Drosophila melanogaster: one gene and its partners. The protein of the gene in region 2 interacts with the protein of the main gene of each other region in a pairwise test. Each region holds a gene or a part of one and is shown on either strand. Other genes may lie near its edges.

Region 1 (3,731 bases), on a different chromosome or scaffold from region 2:
GCACCTGGTAGAAATTGATCCGCCTTGAATGCTTCGATTTCCTGCTCGTTGAGATCCTCCATGCGACTGTAAACTGAGGACTGGATTTCGTTGGTCGGTTGAGCTTGCTGCTGCTGCTGCTGCTGCATCATTTGCTGTTGCTGTTGCATTTGAAATTGTTGTTGCTGCTGCATTTGTTGCTATTGCATCTGCTGCTGCTGATGCATTTGTTGCTGTTGCATCTGTTGCTGCTGCTGCATCTGTTGCTGCTGCTGCATCTGTTGTTGATTAGGGAATGCAGATGCTGCTGCTTGAGCAAATAATCCGGAGGCAGCTGCCTGCTGCTGCTGTTGTAGTTGCTGAGAAGCCTGAGTAAACATTCCGCCCATATTTTGGCTTGCGGCTTGGCCAAAGATTCCCGTCGACTGCGGTTGCTGCTGCTGCTGTTGGAAACCACCGAAAGGATTAGGATTCACTGGCTGAGCTTGCACCTGAACCTGCGCCTGGGCGAAAATGTTGCCCCCTTGGAAAGCTTGTGCAGCAGGCTGCAGCTGTTGCTGCTGTGGCTGTCCAAAGACACTTTGTGCACCTGTTGCCGCAGCTCCTACACCAAAAATGCTATTCCTTGCATTGGCATTGCTAATCGTTCCGCCGAAAATGCTATTGGTGTTGCTGGCTTGGCTTGTGGCATTCCCAAATATATTTCCCGCACTCAGCGTGGGCTTTCCAAAAATGGATGCAGATGTATTGGCGGCAGCCGGAGCTGCTGCAGCGAAGGGATTACTGGACTGCTGAGGGGCAGCCGACACAGTGCCGCCCTCCGGCGTCTCGTGGATCTTGATCATCATTTCCAGGACCTGCGGCGACATCTGAAGCATGGTCTTCATCTTGTTGTTAGCCTCTAGGACCTCACGGTTAAACTGTTGGCTGAACTGTTCGAATTGGTTTTGTCGTTTGGCCTCGTAACACATGAACCGCACCTCCTCGAAGGATTGGTCCTGAATAAAGTTGGGGAAATTCGCTTTGTCCTTAAAGGGTCCGTAGGCGGACAAAGGCCACATCTTGCCATTGAGGCTGGATTCCATGTCGGCTTTGAGATATTGCCTAAAATAATTAAGTTATTAGTTCATCTGCATAGTTTTAATATCAATGTACTCACTTAACATCGAAATGCTCGTTGTTGCACTTTGCGCCATAGCGGCAGGAGCCTTGTTGAAAGAACCGGCAGACAACCATATTTAAATTTGATTTTAATTTTTGCCTATTTCCTATATTTATTATTTCAAAACTGCTTCAACTTTTGTACTTTTGTTTATAATTGTCTTACTTTGCGTATTGAGTATTCTTTGAGTATTTTATGGCTCACTGAGAAAAATATACCGTGCCTATGCGCGCAATTTCGTGAATTCGTAACTTAAGTTCGCTGAATGATTAAGATAATTTTGTAAGCAAACATATTTAAGATGAAAACTGGTTTTTGAAAATATAGTTCCTTGTAAATTATACATTAAGTGCGAATATATCTGAAAAATATTGGTTTCTTGCACAGATGCTATTCATTTTTCATATGTTCAAAGAAATTCAGAAACTTGCTTCTGCATAATCGAATCAGATAATTTTAAAGTGAATTCCGGAGTCCTTTGGTATATCTCGTGCCGCCGAATACGGTCCCACTGATTGTGAAATCCGTGATAACGAATTTTAACACCAGAATTTCTAGGATTCCATCAGAATGCAAAAAGTGCTGGGACGCATCCAGGCGCAGGTCCTCCGCTCCCGGGCGACGAATGCATTAGCCAATGTGGTTAGACACGAGGCCACCTCCTCCAGGACAGCGGCTAAACCAGCCGCCACATCCAAAGGTAAGCGGATCCTCCAAGATGCACAGTTACCGCTTACCAAAATCGTATTCGTTCGTAGAATTCCGGGAGAGACAGGTGCGATTCAACATAAAGAACGAACAGACCGAGGGTAGACCACTTTACCTGGATGCCCAGGCCACCACTCCAATGGACCCACGTGTATTGGACGCTATGCTCCCCTATCTGACCAATTTCTACGGAAATCCCCACTCCCGTACCCACGCCTACGGTTGGGAAACAGAGTCCGCTGTAGAAAAGGCCCGCGAGCAGGTGGCCACCCTGATTGGCGCCGATCCCAAGGAGATCATCTTCACATCCGGCGCCACCGAGTCGAATAATATCGCAGTAAAGGGTGTTGCCCGTTTCTACGGCACTAAGAAGCGACACGTGATCACCACCCAGACGGAGCACAAGTGCGTGCTGGACTCTTGTCGTGCTTTAGAGAACGAGGGCTTTAAAGTCACGTACCTGCCAGTGCTGGCCAACGGACTCATCGACCTCCAGCAACTGGAGGAAACCATCACATCGGAGACCTCGCTGGTGTCCATTATGACGGTGAATAACGAAATCGGCGTACGGCAACCCGTCGATGAGATTGGCAAACTGTGCCGGTCTCGCCGAGTATTCTTTCACACGGATGCCGCTCAGGCGGTGGGAAAGGTCCCGCTGGACGTTAACGCCATGAACATTGACCTGATGTCTATATCCGGCCACAAAATCTACGGCCCAAAGGGTGTAGGCGCCCTGTATGTCCGACGAAGGCCGAGGGTTCGCCTCGAGCCCATCCAAAGTGGCGGCGGCCAGGAGCGTGGCCTAAGGAGCGGAACGGTTCCAGCCCCGCTCGCCGTGGGATTGGGAGCTGCTGCGGAACTTTCTTTGCGTGAGATGGACTACGACAAGAAATGGGTGGACTTTCTATCCAATCGCCTGCTGGACAGGATTTCAAGTGCCTTGCCGCATGTCATCAGGAATGGTGATGCCAAAGCCACATACAATGGTTGCCTGAATTTGTCGTTTGCCTATGTCGAGGGCGAGTCACTACTGATGGCTCTTAAGGACGTGGCCCTGAGCAGTGGGTCCGCCTGCACCTCCGCCTCCCTGGAGCCCTCCTATGTTCTGCGTGCCATCGGCACCGACGAGGATCTTGCCCACAGCTCCATACGCTTTGGCATCGGGCGCTTTACCACCGTCGAGGAGGTGGACTACACCGCCGATAAGTGCATCAAGCATGTGGAGCGACTGCGCGAGATGTCGCCGCTGTGGGAGATGGTCCAAGAGGGCATCGACCTAAAGACCATCCAATGGTCGCAGCATTAATGTACTAATATTTAAGCCGTTACTGTTACACCACACTTTGAAAGCGAAGGGAAAATAAATTTGTTGGAAGAGTATCTAGGTTTATTTGTACACAAAACCACTTATAACTAAGCTTAGTCCGAACGAATGTGCTTGTGTAAGAGGTGAGGCAAGAGAGACCCCAAAAAGCGAAAACGGCTCAAAGTGCGACGGCCAATGATATGCAAATGATGCAATAATTTGCATTCGCCGCTGGTCAAGGTTCAGTTGGCCTTCTTCTGGGGTGAGCCGCTGGATCCACCGCCCAGGATCTTACGGCGCTGGGCGAACATGTGCAAGTACAACTGCGGGAAGATGGGGATGTAGCCGAGCATGACGATCCACAGGAATCCAAAATACGAGAAGGTGGCGTTCCACTTGTTGGGCATCACCACACTCCACACGCTGTTCTCACGGGCATAGCTCTGGGCCCACCAGAAGCACAGCAGCTCCCCAGTCACGCCGATGGGATACAGGACAATGAATGTGGTGTAGCGCAGGAACACCACAAAATGCGGCACCACCTTGACGATGTTCAGAGCGTAATATCCATAT
Region 2 (5,337 bases):
GCGGTCAAGGTGGTTTCGGTGGCGGACAAGGCGGCTTTGGCGAACACCACAGACACCATGGAGGACATCATGGGCGCTTCTAATACCCCAATTTCTTAATCGTCTTAAAATCGTAAACAAAAAATAAATAGTTTTTTCCAACATATACCTGCTGTTTTCGTGAACCAAATATTAAGGAGACCACGGATCCTGGAGATAACTCGCAAACGAAGGAAAGAACAAACACGCATCTTGAGGAGACGCAAAACCAAGGAAATACTACACTCTGGGATTCTGCACACAGAAAAGATTGACTCGGCTATTGATCCTGACTAATAATATATATATTAACAATATATACACTTTATTAAGTCGGAATCGTTTAATTCTACATACAAATTTCATAGGATGTGTCACTTCATGTGAGAATATTAACAAGATTATCTTGGCAATAAGCGCTTCGTCACTTCGTGGATCGCTAGATGACGTTTATTTGGGAACTCGTCATCTTCATCACAACCTTTTCATCTGTAAAACGTGACTCTACTAATTATTATATATTTTTATTATTATAATACAATAATAATACAAAAACATATTTACAGAAAATAACTTTGAAACCTATGATTTGTTTCATAACTTAAAATTTATAATTATAATTCAGCAACAAAAATCTTAGATACTGAGATATTACGGGGTATTATGAATAGGTTGGTTTTGATAAAAACGGTAAAGGTATAAAACAAGACATACACCCACAAAAAATAAATTATATTATTCATGCAAGGATGTACCAAGGAGTTTTTCGGACAATTCGGGGATGATTGCAAAACAAAGGTAAATTATTGAACGCCGTGTTGAACAAATCATGCTCAGGTATACCCAGGCTCATTTACCCTGCAAATTATGGCACTGAATGTGGCATGTTTACCTTTCAAATTGAGCGCACAATACAAACCAAATGCGTTTGACACTGAAGTCAGAATATGCCTTTCTCGCAAATCCAGGGACCTTCTTCGTCTCGAAGGATATCAGATTGAGAAAATTAGCTGTTGGAGTGGGGAAAATAATGAGGGATCATAGACACACATTGAGGAAGGCACAGTTACTATTTCATTATATTTTGAAGACTCAGTTTTAATCTAAATAGCAATCTATAGGTTTGTTCAATTGTTTGTTCGGTGTTTTCTTTTATTTCGTTTGTTGTTGTATATGGGCTTTAATTTGAATATTTATTTACAATTTATTTAAGACTCGTTACACCCTTGCTCAAGTCAAATATAGTAACAGTTGCAATAAACAAGCTTTCAACTTATTGCTTACGTGTCTCATCAATATAATTTACAAGAAAAACTTACTTAAGGCTAATCTCCGTTGATGTTTTGCTTTATGTCTCTGTGCTTCACGCATAATTTACTTTACGGATATTTACCGGCTGCTTATTTTGATGCTTCTTTTATTTTGTAGGTATGTGTATTTTTACTAGTGAGAATATTGGTTGGTTAATTGAGAGTATATATAATTACTATATATATCTGACTTCTATATACCATTTTTAACATTTGTAATTTATGTACGTTCGTTTTTACGAATTGAGTTTTTACTATGCGCTTGCGGTTGGTTTTCTTTGTATAAATAAAATAGAATATTTTCGCTTTTGCTTCGCTTCGAATAATACATGCCATATACATACATATAAGAAAATGCTCGATTACGATTCTCATAACTTATGGTTCGACGTTAACCAAATGAGGCCCTCGGACAGGCCATCGCCGGATGTGGCACATGATGGTTGTACATACCAATTGCGATCTCTTATTCTAGTTAAACCTAGTTTTTCCTGGATTTCATGGGGTTTCATTGCTGCAAGAGAGAACAATAAGCGGATGGAAACAATTGGCTGAGCACTATACTAACCATCAGGCAGATCCTGCTTGTTAGCAAATATCAGTATGATGGCGTCGCGCATCTCCCTATCGTTAATTATCCTATGCAGCTCCGTGCGCGCCTCGTCTATCCGATCCCGATCCGCACAATCCACGACGAAGATCAGACCCTGTGTACCCGTGTAATAGTGTCGCCATAGCGGTCGAATCTTATCCTGCCCACCGACGTCCCACACATTGAACTTGACATTCTTATAGGTGACGGTTTCCACATTAAAGCCCACAGTGGGTATCGTTGTAACAGATTGGCCAAGTTTCAGTTTGTACAGAATCGCTGTGGGTGGACAAAAACAATATTACTTTAGACACGCAAAGGATGTATAAACAAAATAGCTCGAATTCGATTAGTGATAGTACTGGTGTACGTATTGAAAGGTCTTTATATTGTACATTTTTTCAAAGTACAATAAGAATAAAAACAAAACAATAATTGCCTCGCCTCAAGAGTATTTTTTAAATGGGATTGGTTTCCACTTAGGAAACTGATGAAACTAATGGGTACTAATCAGGCCCACAATCGAATTCGAGAACCCTTTATTGTTTATGTGCTTACTTGTTTTTCCAGCCGCGTCCAGTCCGAGCATGAGAATTCGCATTTCCTTGTTGCCGAAAATTTTTGATAGTAACTTTCCCATGGTGCTGATGTGTCATCCATTAAACCTTAGCCAATCTGAAAAACAGTTCGAGTAGAGTTGGCGAGGTCTTCCAAATAAGCATATCGATAAGAATAGCTGGGCGAGATTCAGGGCAGGGTCAGTGAATTTCCAGATAATAGGGCCATTGTAATACAGTTTGCAGTTAACATATCAATTTATGATATAAGAACGCCGTCGCGCGAAGGCGCGTAAGTGATATATGAACATACAAATGTAGCTACATATGTACACATACGGCGGGCACAGGCAATTTGGTGGCCATATAGAGCTTGTACGACGGCGGAAGCTAAGACCATTATTTTGCATAATAATTTCACTTACATTGTCATCAGCTCGTTGCTAAAAAGCGAGAAAAAAGTGGAGAGGCAGAATTTATCAGTGAAGAGCTTGCAGCACACAGTCGCACACACAAACACACGCACACATGCTTACACATAGGAAGTACAATTGGACAGATAAACACACTATAGTGTCTCGCAAATTGAGGCAGAGTTATCTCAATTGCGGGCTTATCGCTGGCTCCACTGAATGGGCGGGTGGATCCGACCGCTCCACCCCCGCCCCCTGAACAGCCACCGCACCCCTCGACGACCCAGTAAAGCCGGCTTGGGAGCAACGATATCGGATGGTTTTCGGATTCTACGGAATTTCGCTCGCTCTCTCGCTGCTGCTTGCCTACGTCACAAACACGCCCGTAACACACATACACATGTATACACACCCAAGTCTCCGACGACCGCCGTTACGCACCGCTTTCCAGCCCAATTCGTTCCACGCCAGCCTGAAATCCGTTAACATGTAGTGCCAAAGTGCGCGGGCCGGGGCATAAAATGCATTTGCTAGCACACGGCGGCCAAAAAACTATAACTAACAACAACAATTTTGCACTAATCTTCTTGTATTTATATACACATACACGAAGCAATGTGCCCGTTAGCGCAGAGCGGAACAAGATCTTCGGGAATTCCAGAAAATACGCTAAAAAATGCAAAGAATGCGGAGGATAAATACCAAAAATACTGAATTTATCAGATGAAAAACGGTGACTGGCGGGGATATCGTGATTTTTTGGCCAATAAGTTATTACTTTTGCAATTCAAAATTGAAAAAGATTTATTTTCTTATATTCATTTATTATTCATATTAATTTAGCAAACAATGTAGCTGATATATTCTCCTCGTACGTTCAACAATTTGTTAATTTTTTTTAATTTTAAAAATTTTTGTTTTGTGTATTTAGTGATTTGGTATTTTAATGTAGCCCTGGTGAACTTACAAAGCCCTAGGGCGGCCACACTGAAACCGATGATTGAAATCAAGTCGATTGATTTCAGTTTCCTTCTTTTGTATTGTTTTATATTTGAGCAATACTTACGATACTGACATCGCTCAGAGGTACAATGGAACTTAGTTAGTCGTCGACCAGAACAGACTCGGAAAACATGGCTGGCATTTGCCCCCGGGAGGCGGTTCGGGTGAAAGTGAAGGCAAGTGAAAGGTGGCCAGAAGGCGAGACAACAAAAGGGCTGCTTAGTTTGTGTTCCTCAATCTAATTTTTTTGAAATCGCCCACAGAAATGCGAACCCACTGCTCGGCCGGAGTGGCGAAAGTTTTCAGTGGACCCGCAGATCACCACGCTGGAGGTGTTGTACTCCCTGCTGGCCAAGGCCTTCGATGTCAAGTCGGACTTCTCCATTAAGTACAAGGCCTTTGATCCGGCGGGCAACGAGATCTACCTGGCCGTGCGCTCCGACTGGGATCTGGATGCCGCCTTTCTGAGGATTCACAACATTTCCATTCAGACGGCCTCAGAACCCTGCCTCACCCTGCAGATCGATGTGAAGCCATTTACGGTGGTCAGGGAGTGTGAGACCGAGGCCTCCCCGGGTAGATCCATAACGGGAGCGCCTGCTCCCGCAACTCCTGCACCTTTTGTACCCGCCCGCGAGCTTATGTCACCACTGCAGTCCTTAGGAGTCTCCCAGAAATATGTCCAGCACATGCAGACCAAACTGGGCAGCTCCATTCTGAATCAGATGGAGAAAACCTTCTCCATAGTGCAGAAAGCGTTTAACTTATCCGAGGAGCATATGGCCAATCTACCGCCACGGCCGCCCATGTGCGACAGCGAGTTCCGGCTCTTTCTGGACGCACTTGGTCAGATTCAACGCAAGGACGAGTTGCATAGGGTCATCTTCCTAGGAGGCATTGACCCCAGTCTGCGGCGCGTTGTGTGGAAACATCTGCTTAACGTTTATCCCGGTGGCGCTAACGGACTGGCACTTGATGGACACCAGCGTATGGAATTCATGCGACGAAAGTCTGAGCAGTACTGTCGTCTGAGAGACACATGGAAAGCGGCCGTGAAGCGAGGCAGTGTGGCTGGAGAACTGGCTTACGTAACGAGCATGGTAAAGAAGGATGTTCTCCGCACGGACCGCCTGCATCCATTTTATGCAGGCAGCGACGACAATCAGAACATCGCTGCGCTTTTCAATATCCTCACCACATATGCACTAAACCATCCATCGGTCTCATATTGTCAAGGCATGTCGGACATTGCTTCCCCGCTACTGGTTACCATGAACGACGAGGCACAGGCCTACATCTGCTTTTGTGCGATAATGTCACGTATGCGTGGAAACTTCATGCTGGATGGGATTGCAATGACTCAGAAATTTGCTCACCTAACGGAGGCGCTAAGTTTTTATGATCCTGAGTTCTGGGAGTACCTCAAGTCGCAGCAAGCGGACGAC
Region 3 (5,030 bases), on a different chromosome or scaffold from region 2:
TACGTTGGTTTTTTTTAAATATATTTTTGGTTGCTAAGCCAAGAGTCTTTTCTTTGGATTGCATAAAAGCTTTTCGAACGGCCACATCTGCCTTCAGCTACTGAAATTCAAATGGTCGTACATCTGAAGCGTTTCCTGACTTCCAGCCGCACTTCTATCTATTTACCAACTTTTGCTCGCACGTCGGATGGCCAATTAAACGGCCGCCGAAAAAGCACTAACCCACAACGCAGGCATTATAAAAGAATTAATAAGCAATTGCATAACGCTGGCTACGTGTCGAAGTAGGAAGTTAGCTGAATAGCGCAAAAATGTGAGAAATTCATGCAAGTTCCAGAGTAGAAAGCCCCAAATATTTAGCTCTAATGGCTTCCCAGCATAATTGGTTAGTACCCACTAACCACTACGTATTTTCACTTTCATAATATGCAGAAGTGTCTAGTGGCTAATGGCATTGGTCAGATACGATCTGATCATCTGCAGATCTGATGCTATCGATGGTATCTGTGACTTTCCTATGTCTTCGAAACAAATGACCAGATACAAGATGGCAGATTGCATAATGTTCATGCGAAACGAAAATAGAAAACAGAAACAACAATCGAAGAAATAACACTGAAGAAATGGATGTGTGCATGGCGGTGGGGTGATATATACAAATAATTTGTAGCGGTTTATCATCTAACGGCATTATTGGGCAACCTCCACTCCAATCCAATTCCAATTCCACTCCAACACTCCAAAACTCCAACACTCTGCTCGCCAACGCCAGCATTTAAACTATTTTCTTGTTATGTACTTCAGCTGAGTTTTGGCATCGATTTTTGGCCAACAGAAAATCCGATGCGTCATTCGCGATAATTGCGCGTGCCAGGGAGTCAGACATACAAATTATTTATGAAACTAACTGCTCGCTCATAAATTGGTGTGGCGAGCACATCGAAATCGAAATCTAGCTAGCCCTAGAGCAGAAGCAAATCAAATACAAATATTACGTATACGTTCGAGAGAGATCCACACGCGTCGCGCAGGAACTGTTGCAATCCGGGGACCGACCCAACGATGGGACATTGAACTCGAAACGAACGCGAACCTGCCCAGCCGAGTTTGTAAACAAACTGGGCTTATGTAATCGCTTAATTATAATGGAAATGAAAATGCCAAAACGACAGCAAGAAACTGTGCTTTTTGTTTGCTCGGAATGGTAATGGTAGATGGTAGATGGTAATGGTAAAAGGTAAATGCCAGTGGTAAACAAGCTTGAAGGCTGCGCTTGTAGGGATATGCATTTCTGGTTTGTGCTCAAATCCATTTGCATGGCAATGAAATGTACCAGAAAGTGGGTCAGCTTATGACAGGACTCGAAGCCGACGAACAACATTCACCCACAGAGAAAGAAAATCTAATACGATATACGTATGTTCAAATAATATGTGACAAGTATCAAAATGTTTGTAATGTATGTAAAGGCTTTAAGTAAAAAAAAATGTATATATATATATATATATATAAGTATCTTTAAAATTTTAGAAGACAGTAAGGTTTTCTTTCAGAGATTCGCCTGAGAAACCAACATTACTGGCAACGAGGAGAAATTACTGAATGTCTGAAAGGAAACATAAATTCTGTACCCGAAAAGGGATCTTTCTTTCTTTTATTATTCATTGTGGCTGTAGAAGTGGCAGCGACGTCGGCAGTGGCAGCGACGGCTACTGCGACGGCGAAAGAAAAACGAAGAAACGAAGCAACAACTTTCACCTATTAATATTCGTGTCGTAGCAGCGGCAGAAGCGAGCTGCCAAAGCCAAAGCTAAAGCTGTAGCTAAAGCCAGGCCAAAAGACCGAGACCGAGGCAGAAGCAGAGTCAGAGTCAGAGATACAGATACATTGCCAGCCAAAGATACAGATACTGCAGAAGCAGAAGCAACAAAACAACTAGTCACTGCCGATGCTCAACGACGGCAACACATCGCATATAGCATCGCATGTAGCATGTAGCTCGAAACTCCCAACTTCAAGCTTCAAGCTCCAAACTGGCTGCAACTCCAGCCAGTTGGGTCCCCTTGCTGGGGAAACTTTCTATAAAAAAAGCAGCTTTTGCTTTTTGTTTTGAAAATTTCTTTCTGGCTGCGCAGGTTGCCCGAGTGCACGGTTTGGTTCGAACGTTTGTTTGTTTGTTGCTTTCGCTTGGCATTCTGCACTCCAATGGGGCACATCCAGACTCGAACGGATCCGAAACGCCTTTTGCGTTTGTTACTTTTCTTATTGGTAAAACTAGCTTAGAATATTTGGATTTATAGTTATTCCCTACTAAACCCAAAGTATCTAGTAGTTAGTAACTACTGCTTGTTAGTAGCTAGCCAAGTTCAAGGCAACTTACAACAATATCTGGTCGAGTATTGACAATTCGCATTGACTGTGGGTGTCATAATCTCGTTGGCAGCCATATCCAAATCCAATTGTTTGATGATAATAGTGCTGTGTGCTAGGTGTACTCCAATCCCGATTGGTATCCTTGAGCTGTTCGGGAACTTTCCGTAATCCAATGGGCGCACACAAAATATATGTTTTTTTCTTTGATAGTTTCTCTTCTCGAAGCTTATTTGGTTGGCTGGCGGTGGCCGGTTTTCATTGTAGCATATCAATATTTGTCATTCAAGTGGCACTCACGCACCGAAACACCGAAAAATCACTTTCACTTTTGCGTTTTGATATGCAGAGAACACAAGGCAGTTAATAAATACGGATGCGTGGTCTTCGAAATCCGGAGAGAGGGGAGTGAAATTCAAGATCGCAAAACCACAGAGTCAAAAGAGGATAACATTTTGATTACACTTGGGCAGCATGATGCTGTTGCTATTCCACACTTTTCATATGATCTTGTTTTCTTTTCGAGTATTTTTCTTATATGATTTTCTTGCTATGAAGTTTCTGCGCAGGCGCGACTTTCTACGAGCTGGTCTGGCGATTCTTGCGCGCCGAACGGTGGAACGTAACGTCTGCCTCGAAACGCGGTAGACGTCTGTGCGGCAGCGCGCAGTGAAACCAGCGCTTATCCTCAAAGATCGCTAAGAAATTTCATGCCATTCCATTTCGTTTCTCAGCGGCAGCGACGCTTTCGCTTGCCGCACTCACACACCTGCAAGGTGGAAGCTCTGCCGTTGGTTCTTCGGCTCAAGAGTGCTTTTACCATTTCTTTCTCTCGCGCATACATGCACGTTCGAGCGCACTCACACACACACGGGCCATAGCAAGTTTGGTTCTTCGTTGAAGTCTTTTGTTTTGGTCCGCCGTTTGTGTTTGCCATGTGCTCTGAGTAAGAGTTTCGCCTTGGGAGCTCACTCTCGCACACCAAAGCCGAAATGGTTAATTATTTACAGCTTACCATCGTTTCGATTCCAGTGCGTTCCCCAGCTGCTTTTATAACTTTAACTTTCATCGCTGCCTTCTTAGACCAGCTTTTCCCACTTCCTCCACCCCACCCCCTGCTCGTGTTTGCCAAGCGCTGAAAATTACAACTTTCGTCTATTTTTGTCAAGATTTTTTTTATAATTATATAATTTAAGCGTTTTTTCTTCTTCTTGTCGCACATTTTTGGCCCCCGTTTCGCTGGCAATCTGATTCCGTTCGCTTTTCCATTGTTGCTGCCGTTTTTACTTTTCTTTGCATAAACCGCACGGCTAATTACGCACAAGGAGAGTGAAACTCCATTAGATTCTTAATTATACTTTAATTGCCAACGGATAGATAATGTGGAGAGCAGCACCCAGCGAGCCGGGCAGAAATCAACTTGAATCGCCTCACCAGTGGGTTGCAGTTGCAGTGAGTTGCATTTGGAAATCTTTCACCGCTGCATTTCTCATTGTTGCTGGCGGTACTAGTACTGGTACTGGTACTGGTACTGGTACTGGTACTGGGACTGGGTCTGGTGCTCGTACTGCTCTTTCTACTGGTCTACCCATGCGCAGTTAGCGTTGCAAAGCTCTGTCTTCAGCAGGCTCCATTTGGAGTGGTCTTGCTGGGGCTCTTGGGTGCTTTTCGGGGAGCCGGGGCTCTCTGCACTTACAGTTGTTTCTTTTGTCTTACACTCGGATGCGCGATGCTGCCCTGCTGGTTGTAGTTGTAGAAAACTTTCTAATGTAGAAGATGTCTGCATTAGACACTTCCCCTGGCCATTGTACTTGGATTGAATTGCCCCGCTGCCGCCGTGGGGCACAGTGGTAGGCCTCTATTTACTCGGCATTTGTCAGCTTTTTATTTCTTTCGAGATTTTCCCAAGCTTGATAAATTGTCGGCGAGAATTTCAATGTTGTAAAGTTGTATAGGCAGTATTCTAAGCTTGTGAGTTCACACCGTTGCCGATTGATCGATTCTTTTAACATATTTTACTCAGCTGGGTGAAAGTTTGTGTGATAAAGCCACCGACTGTTACATATAGAGATGTAAATCATCTTTCCATTGCGGATACATCGAGTATACCGTATCCACATCCACTTCAAGTAGGGATGCAGAACCTGTCGAAGATCCATTTAGTCATCCAGTGCTCAATCTTGTGTCGCATGACCACGACTTTCGACCAACTAATAGGCCCGAATTTGTATTTACATGCTAATGAGCAACGGAATATTTTGTTTCTACTGAAAACGAAAACGCATTTTATTGCCAAACGATGATCTTTGTCAATAGGAGAGCTAATAGATTTAATTGGACGGCTGGTTCGTTATATAAATCTCGACCGGGCCAGAACTGCTGGGGGAAAAAGAAACGAGCTAAGATGTATCGCGGCTAAATGATTAATGCAGCTAAGAGTCGAGACCCCAAAAGCCAAAATCGTATTTTCACTTTTTAATAATTAACATAAAATTATTAAGAAGACGGCGAAGAAGCTGTGCAGAGGGCGAGGCAGAACGAGCGAAGATGCCGAAAACGATGCCAAACGCATTAAGCGCCCAGCCACAAAGACAAGGCAAGGTAAAGAATAAGCCAAGAAAGTTGTAAAATCCGAGCAGGAAAAGAGATTTCCGAATTTC
Region 4 (5,556 bases), on a different chromosome or scaffold from region 2:
CTTATCCTTATCGCTATGGGAAACTGGGGGAGGCGACTTCTCTGCTGCGGTTATGTAATGCCCCAAAAAAGCGCCAGATAAGACCAACCGCCGGTTGCGGAAGATGAGCGGATCGCCACGGCCCATGGAGATAAAGTTGTTTACAGGAATCCGGACCGAGCACAAAGACAAACAGCAATGGCAATAAAGCAATGGGACAGAGAGACAACCCAGCTGCAAGCTAATTAAAGTTGCGACAGAACGAAGCCAGTCGCCAGTAGTCCGCCAGTTGCGAATGGAGCAATTTCCAGCCGGGAGTGTTTGCAATCCTGGTACTATCCCGTGAGAAGGGCTGAAAAAGGACTGTAAAATACCCAGTTCCCATCTATAGTTATCTGTCGTGCCTGCAAGGGGCTACGGCAACTTTGGTGGTATTGACAAAAAAAAAACGAAAGATACATGTCACAGTTATCATATATAAATTATCAGTCATTTGAATAAATCATTATTCATTATTATTATTATTTTCACTTCTTGTTACAGATAAAGTTACATAAACTGCGTATACCCTCTTGTTCGGCACACATCCAGGGTACCACACGGCAAATATGTCCTGCAACGAGAAGACAGCGCTTCTGGCAACGCAACAAGGACATCAGCAGCGGCAGCAGCGGCAGCAGCAGCACATCATTGTCGTGCCCGCGACGGGGAAGGATCCAAAGGATTATGAGCCCATTTTCACAACTGCTGAGTAAACGCTTTCCGTCGTATTTCATTAAAAAATAACTTCGTTACACAGTGCCGCCTGCCCGCTTCTTTCGTAGCTATTCCTACGGACTGACGCTCGAGGAGCTCCTGCCCTTCGCTCTGGATCCCTGGTGGCAGGCCGTACGGCGCCTCAGCTGCGGGCTCCTGGGCCTGACTTTCCTGCTGACCCTGATTGCTGGACTGGTTATGGCCTATTCCGACAGTGTCTGTCTCCCAAATAGAGCAATTAGCAGAAACGCGACCACCACGACAACGATGGCCACGCCACTATCCTTGGCTCTCAACGGCTCCCAGCTGCTGATGGCCAGTTTATAGTGGCCGTAAGCTAATCTGTGTAGCATTTTGGAGATGCCGCAATCCACCCTGCGGAATTGCATCAGCCGCATCAGCTCGCACTATTAGCATTTGTTTGGCTTGCCGGTAATGGAGGCGACCTAATCCTCCTCCTCTCTACTGTTTACCCCTACTCAAGCTGAGTGATAAGCGATGCACCGCGGGATTGATTGGTCGTGAAATAATTATACTGATTAACTTATTTGCTACACAACCGCCTACTCGTAAAGTAAAAAGAATGCAAAAGGTATAAGGAAGCGTTTCCGTACCAATTAAGAACATTGTATCGCAAACTTATTAATTTTTATATATATACATATATATATATGAATATTACTTAAACTAATAAACGAATAGTTTTTTTTCATCGCTGTATTCTGGTTTCGGTTTCTGGGAGTTTAGAAGTTAACAAACCGCCTTATAGTTTTACAGCCCCACCCTGAAAAAATGGTTTGATTTAGTTTTATTTTATAAATAGTCTTGGCAATTTGTATACTTGTGAAAAAACATTTTCACCACGCCCACACTAGCGCGCACAATTAACAAAATCCTGTAGTTACAGAGGTGGTACTCTTGTCATTTTGGAAGTTTTATGTATTATGTAGTTTATGTATATATATAAAAAATATTTTCTTAGAATTTAAATTATTTAAAATATTATTATTATTATATTATATATTAACACATATTTATTTATTTATTTATTATATATATATATATATATATATATTAATATTATAAAAATTTAAGAGTTAGTAGCTGATCGCATTTCTGATAGTTGAGGAACTCGACTGTAGCGTTTTCTCTTGTTTCAATTTGCCTTTTTTTAAATATCTACACCGTTACTACATATTTTTTACATGACACAGTAGCGCCATCTGTGCACTTATCAGTGTTGGATAGCAGCGGCGACTTCGATTAAGCAATCGATTATTTGTTGCATATGTTGTTTACGGCAATTGTTTATATTTATTTACTGCTGGTGAAGTGATTATTCGTGATGGATTTTGACAGTCCCGAGGAGAAGGAGTTTCCCGGGCTGTACGCCTCCGAGGCGGCGGACGCTAAGTCGAGGAAGAGCAAGGAGGAGAGCGACTGTGAGTGGAGCGCAAAGATGTGGGCGTAAGCTGGGAAAAAATCAATGGGCTCACCTTGCCTTTACAGTTAGTGAGGATCACGACCATAGCAAGAAGGACTTGTTGATTGGCCGGCGCAAGGACAAGAAGGAAAAGGGCAAGGATCGAGGATACGCCGCTCTGGAGGGCGAGAGCTCGCCGGAGGAGGAGCTGGACACCAAGTGGGTGCAGGTCAGCTGACCCAGAGACAAGTAATATTTTTTCTTTTACTTCCAGAAGTCCATCCAAGTCGAAAAAGTCAAAGACCTTTAAGTTCACCAGCTCCAAGAGCAAGGAGAAGCGGGAAAAGTCGCGGGACAAGTCTGAAAAAGACTCGAAGCACGCAGAGGAGGAGCCTTCCGTCTCCCACAAGGTCAAGGAGAAAGAGCGGGATAAGGAGAAGGACCGTGATGAGCCCAAGAAGAAGGACAAGGAGGAGAAGCGCAAGGAAAAGGACAAGAAGGCTGACAAGAAGGACAAAAAGGATAAGAAGAGCAAGCAGCTGTCGCAGCAGCAGGACGACGTCTCCGCCGCGGAGGAAGTGCTGGCACTTGGGTATCCCGTCTTTGGGGTGTCCGTTAGCTTGGCGACCGAACGATCCCGCTGCCACGACGGCGTGGACATTCCCCTGGTTGTGCGCGACTGCATCGACTTCCTGCAGGATCACCTGAAGTGTGAGCAGATCTACAAGATTGAGCCCATCAAGACGCGTCTGATGCACTTCAAGCGGTTGTACAACAACCGGGAGCACGACTCCGCCGTTGATGAGCTCAACCTGCCTACCGCCTGCAGTCTGCTGAAGCTCTTCCTGCGCGAACTGCCGGAGCCACTGCTGACCACCGATCTGGTGGCCCGCTTTGAGGAGGTAGCCTCTCATCCGAAGGTAACCACGCAGCAGGCAGAGCTGCAGCAGCTGCTTGAACAATTGCCCAAGTGCAATCGCACCCTCTTGGCGTGGGTGCTGCTCCACTTCGACGCGGTGATCCAGCAGGAAAGACACAATAAGCTCAACGCTCAGTCGCTGGCTATGCTGCTCAGTCCGACGCTCCAGATGTCTCACCGACTAATGGTGGCCCTACTCTGCCACTGCAACAACTTGTTCGCGGACGTCCAGCTGATAAAGTGAGCAAACACCGGCTAGCCGGATAACAGTGGTGGGAAATATCCAAGTACCTTTGTGTTGGTAAAAGAGAAGTCCACATTTAACAACTATAGTTAAATCACAAGAACGAATCGAAGTCATAGCTCTGAAGTTAACTACTAAACTGTTAGTTTTAGTAAACTGTTAGTTTCCATATTTATCTAATGATATAAATTGTTTTTTTATATGTATAATAGGTACTTATAAGAACCCAGATAATTCCCACCACTGTTGGCAGTTGATAAGATTGCTGCTATAAAAATCGCCAGATTTAGTCGTTTATTTTGCAACCGACGATGAGCACATTACCCCGTAAACAGAAGCGCTTTCCACGTTTCGCCAGTTTTCTAATCAGGCAGAATGGCACACATTTAAACAAAGTTATCATAATACTAAATTGTCATCTCTTAGGTATGTGCCCCCTTTAACATCGACCAGCCCAAAGCTTCCGGATACGCCGGAGGACATCCAGACGGAGTTGCGCAAGCAGGACAGCCTCCTGTCCCAGATCCACAGCGAGATGAACGCCGGGTTCATTACCAAGAAACGCGAGGAACAGCTGTGGGAAGTGCAGCGCATCATTACCCAGCTGAAGCGGAAACTACGAACTTTTGAGAAGAAACAGGAAAAGACTGCGGAGGAAGTAGACAACAGCAGCAGTGCTCCGCCCGCTGTAGCCAGTGAAGATACCACTGACTCCAAACCAGCTGGAACTCCAGCCGTATCTACGAACAACAGTATTTCCCAGGAAGAGCCAAAAACCGATACACTAACTCCGAAAGATGCTCCTAACGATTTTACTATTGATCCCAGCACTGGCTTTATTTTGCTCCCCAAATCAAATCCGCACCGCGAAAATTTGCTGCGGCTCCAAATTGAATATGACGAGCTAATGGAATGGCAGAACGAACTAAAAGCACGTATCGTCGCCGAGCGCAACGAAGTCTATAGGCTCAAGCAGCTGTACGAGCAGCAGTCAATAAACAGTCAAATGGCCTCCTTGGCCTCGGGATCTCAGGCTCCCCCAGAATCCGACTATGAGCGGATAATCGAGCACTATACACGGGAGAATGCGCTGCTGGAGCACAAGAAGAATATGCTGGGCATGGAACTAAAGGAGGAACGACGGGCCTGTATTGCTCTACAAGTTGAGCTGCGGCTCCAGCAGTTTTAATGTATTAATTCGATTAATGTATTACTTGGATGGGTCAATTTGAGGGATATAACTAAGTTCCTATTCCGGAAACTTAATGGTCACATTTCCAAAGAAACATAAAAGGTCTACTAGGCAATCATAGGAGGTTTCTTAGATTCGTAGAAGACAATTCTATGTCACATATCTAAAATATTCAAATGAATAAACTTGTAAAGTTTTTGATAATTCATTTATCTGCAAACGTAGTCACTGTTCTAAACAGTGTCCTTTGTGAATTGCAATATATGAGAATTTTCAGTTCAGCTTTTAAGGAGATAAAATACTGCTAAAACATAAAACGGATTCCTCATGCCTAAAGTCAGTTTATTGTTTATTTGGAAATGAGCTAGTTTCAGACTTGACCCACCGAAATATATGTATGTATATAGGGTTACCAATTTTAAATCTCAATGTCTACTTGCGATCAAATGCTTTGTTCAAACTATAATTACTGTTAAACGGCGCAAAGCCCCAAAGAAATCTTGTTAGACAACTTTACTGCTTTCAACAATTAAATGAGAAAACAAACTCAAAATTCCCTTTTCTGTACTGAACTATTGCATCGAAATATGTCTCCTCGAAGAATTTTGTAAATGCCGGTAAAGTAGCTGCGTTTGTGTGTGCCGACAATCAAGATCCGATTTTCTAAATCGGTCTGATGACTTAATTCCAATCCGAGAAATACAGGGCACAGATTAGAAGATGTTTAGACGACGGATTGGCTGTTCGCTGGGGTGAAACGGAAATGACATCATCTCATATTACGTCTTGTCAACATTGTGATGGTCAAGGAACCGAGGTGGGCTTTGCGTGTTACGATTACTTTATTTAATATTTATTATTAATAATTTTAGAATACATTATCATTATGCATTACGTTCGGGGCGTGTTTTCTGTATTCCGCTGAAGTACAACTTAAAAATATCACACACAAATACCACGGGGGAAAGATGAGTCCTCCGGAATGCCAAACCGCGTCAACTCGCTCCCCTCCATGATTAAGTTATTTCCGCTGGACTACAGAT

Evidence for each region.
Region 1: the proteins of Arf6 (region 2) and Nfs1 interact in a two-hybrid assay, tested with the Drosophila melanogaster proteins (one large-scale study listed by BioGRID).
Region 3: the proteins of Arf6 (region 2) and CG6118 interact in a two-hybrid assay, tested with the Drosophila melanogaster proteins (one large-scale study listed by BioGRID).
Region 4: the proteins of Arf6 (region 2) and Rlip interact in a two-hybrid assay, tested with the Drosophila melanogaster proteins (one large-scale study listed by BioGRID).

The regions. Positions count from the first base shown.
Region 1 is NT_033779.5:11,998,014-12,001,744, forward strand, and holds Nfs1 (Nfs1 cysteine desulfurase), read left to right. Parts: upstream 1-1,640; 5' UTR 1,641-1,711; coding exon 1,712-1,841; intron 1,842-1,899; coding exon 1,900-3,158; 3' UTR 3,159-3,231; downstream 3,232-3,731. Other genes in the region: Hacd1 (3-hydroxyacyl-CoA dehydratase 1), read right to left, coding at 3,401-3,731. UniProt on the Drosophila melanogaster protein: Catalyzes the removal of elemental sulfur from cysteine to produce alanine. It supplies the inorganic sulfur for iron-sulfur (Fe-S) clusters.
Region 2 is NT_033778.4:15,320,707-15,326,043, reverse strand, and holds Arf6 (ADP ribosylation factor 6), read right to left. Parts: upstream 3,544-5,337; 5' UTR 3,332-3,543; exon of another isoform or gene 3,303-3,331; intron 3,242-3,302; exon of another isoform or gene 3,014-3,241; intron 2,921-3,013; 5' UTR 2,903-2,920; intron 2,596-2,902; 5' UTR 2,561-2,595; coding exon 2,479-2,560; intron 2,200-2,478; coding exon 1,897-2,199; intron 1,843-1,896; coding exon 1,700-1,842; 3' UTR 554-1,699; downstream 1-553. Other genes in the region: CG8157 (uncharacterized protein), read left to right, coding at 1-83; CG8155 (uncharacterized protein), read left to right, coding at 4,024-4,068, 4,156-5,337. UniProt on the Drosophila melanogaster protein: GTP-binding protein involved in protein trafficking; may modulate vesicle budding and uncoating within the Golgi apparatus. Promotes cell movement and remodeling of the actin cytoskeleton during compound eye morphogenesis.
Region 3 is NT_033777.3:15,431,738-15,436,767, forward strand, and holds the start of CG6118 (uncharacterized protein), read right to left. Parts: upstream 3,002-5,030; 5' UTR 2,448-3,001; coding exon 2,381-2,447; intron 1-2,380.
Region 4 is NT_033777.3:21,015,698-21,021,253, forward strand, and holds Rlip (Ral interacting protein), read left to right. Parts: upstream 1-1,986; 5' UTR 1,987-2,080; coding exon 2,081-2,177; intron 2,178-2,244; coding exon 2,245-2,377; intron 2,378-2,432; coding exon 2,433-3,317; intron 3,318-3,747; coding exon 3,748-4,510; 3' UTR 4,511-5,056; downstream 5,057-5,556. Other genes in the region: CG5697 (uncharacterized protein), read left to right, coding at 588-730, 804-1,062. UniProt on the Drosophila melanogaster protein: Participates in receptor endocytosis during interphase, is also involved in mitotic processes when endocytosis is switched off.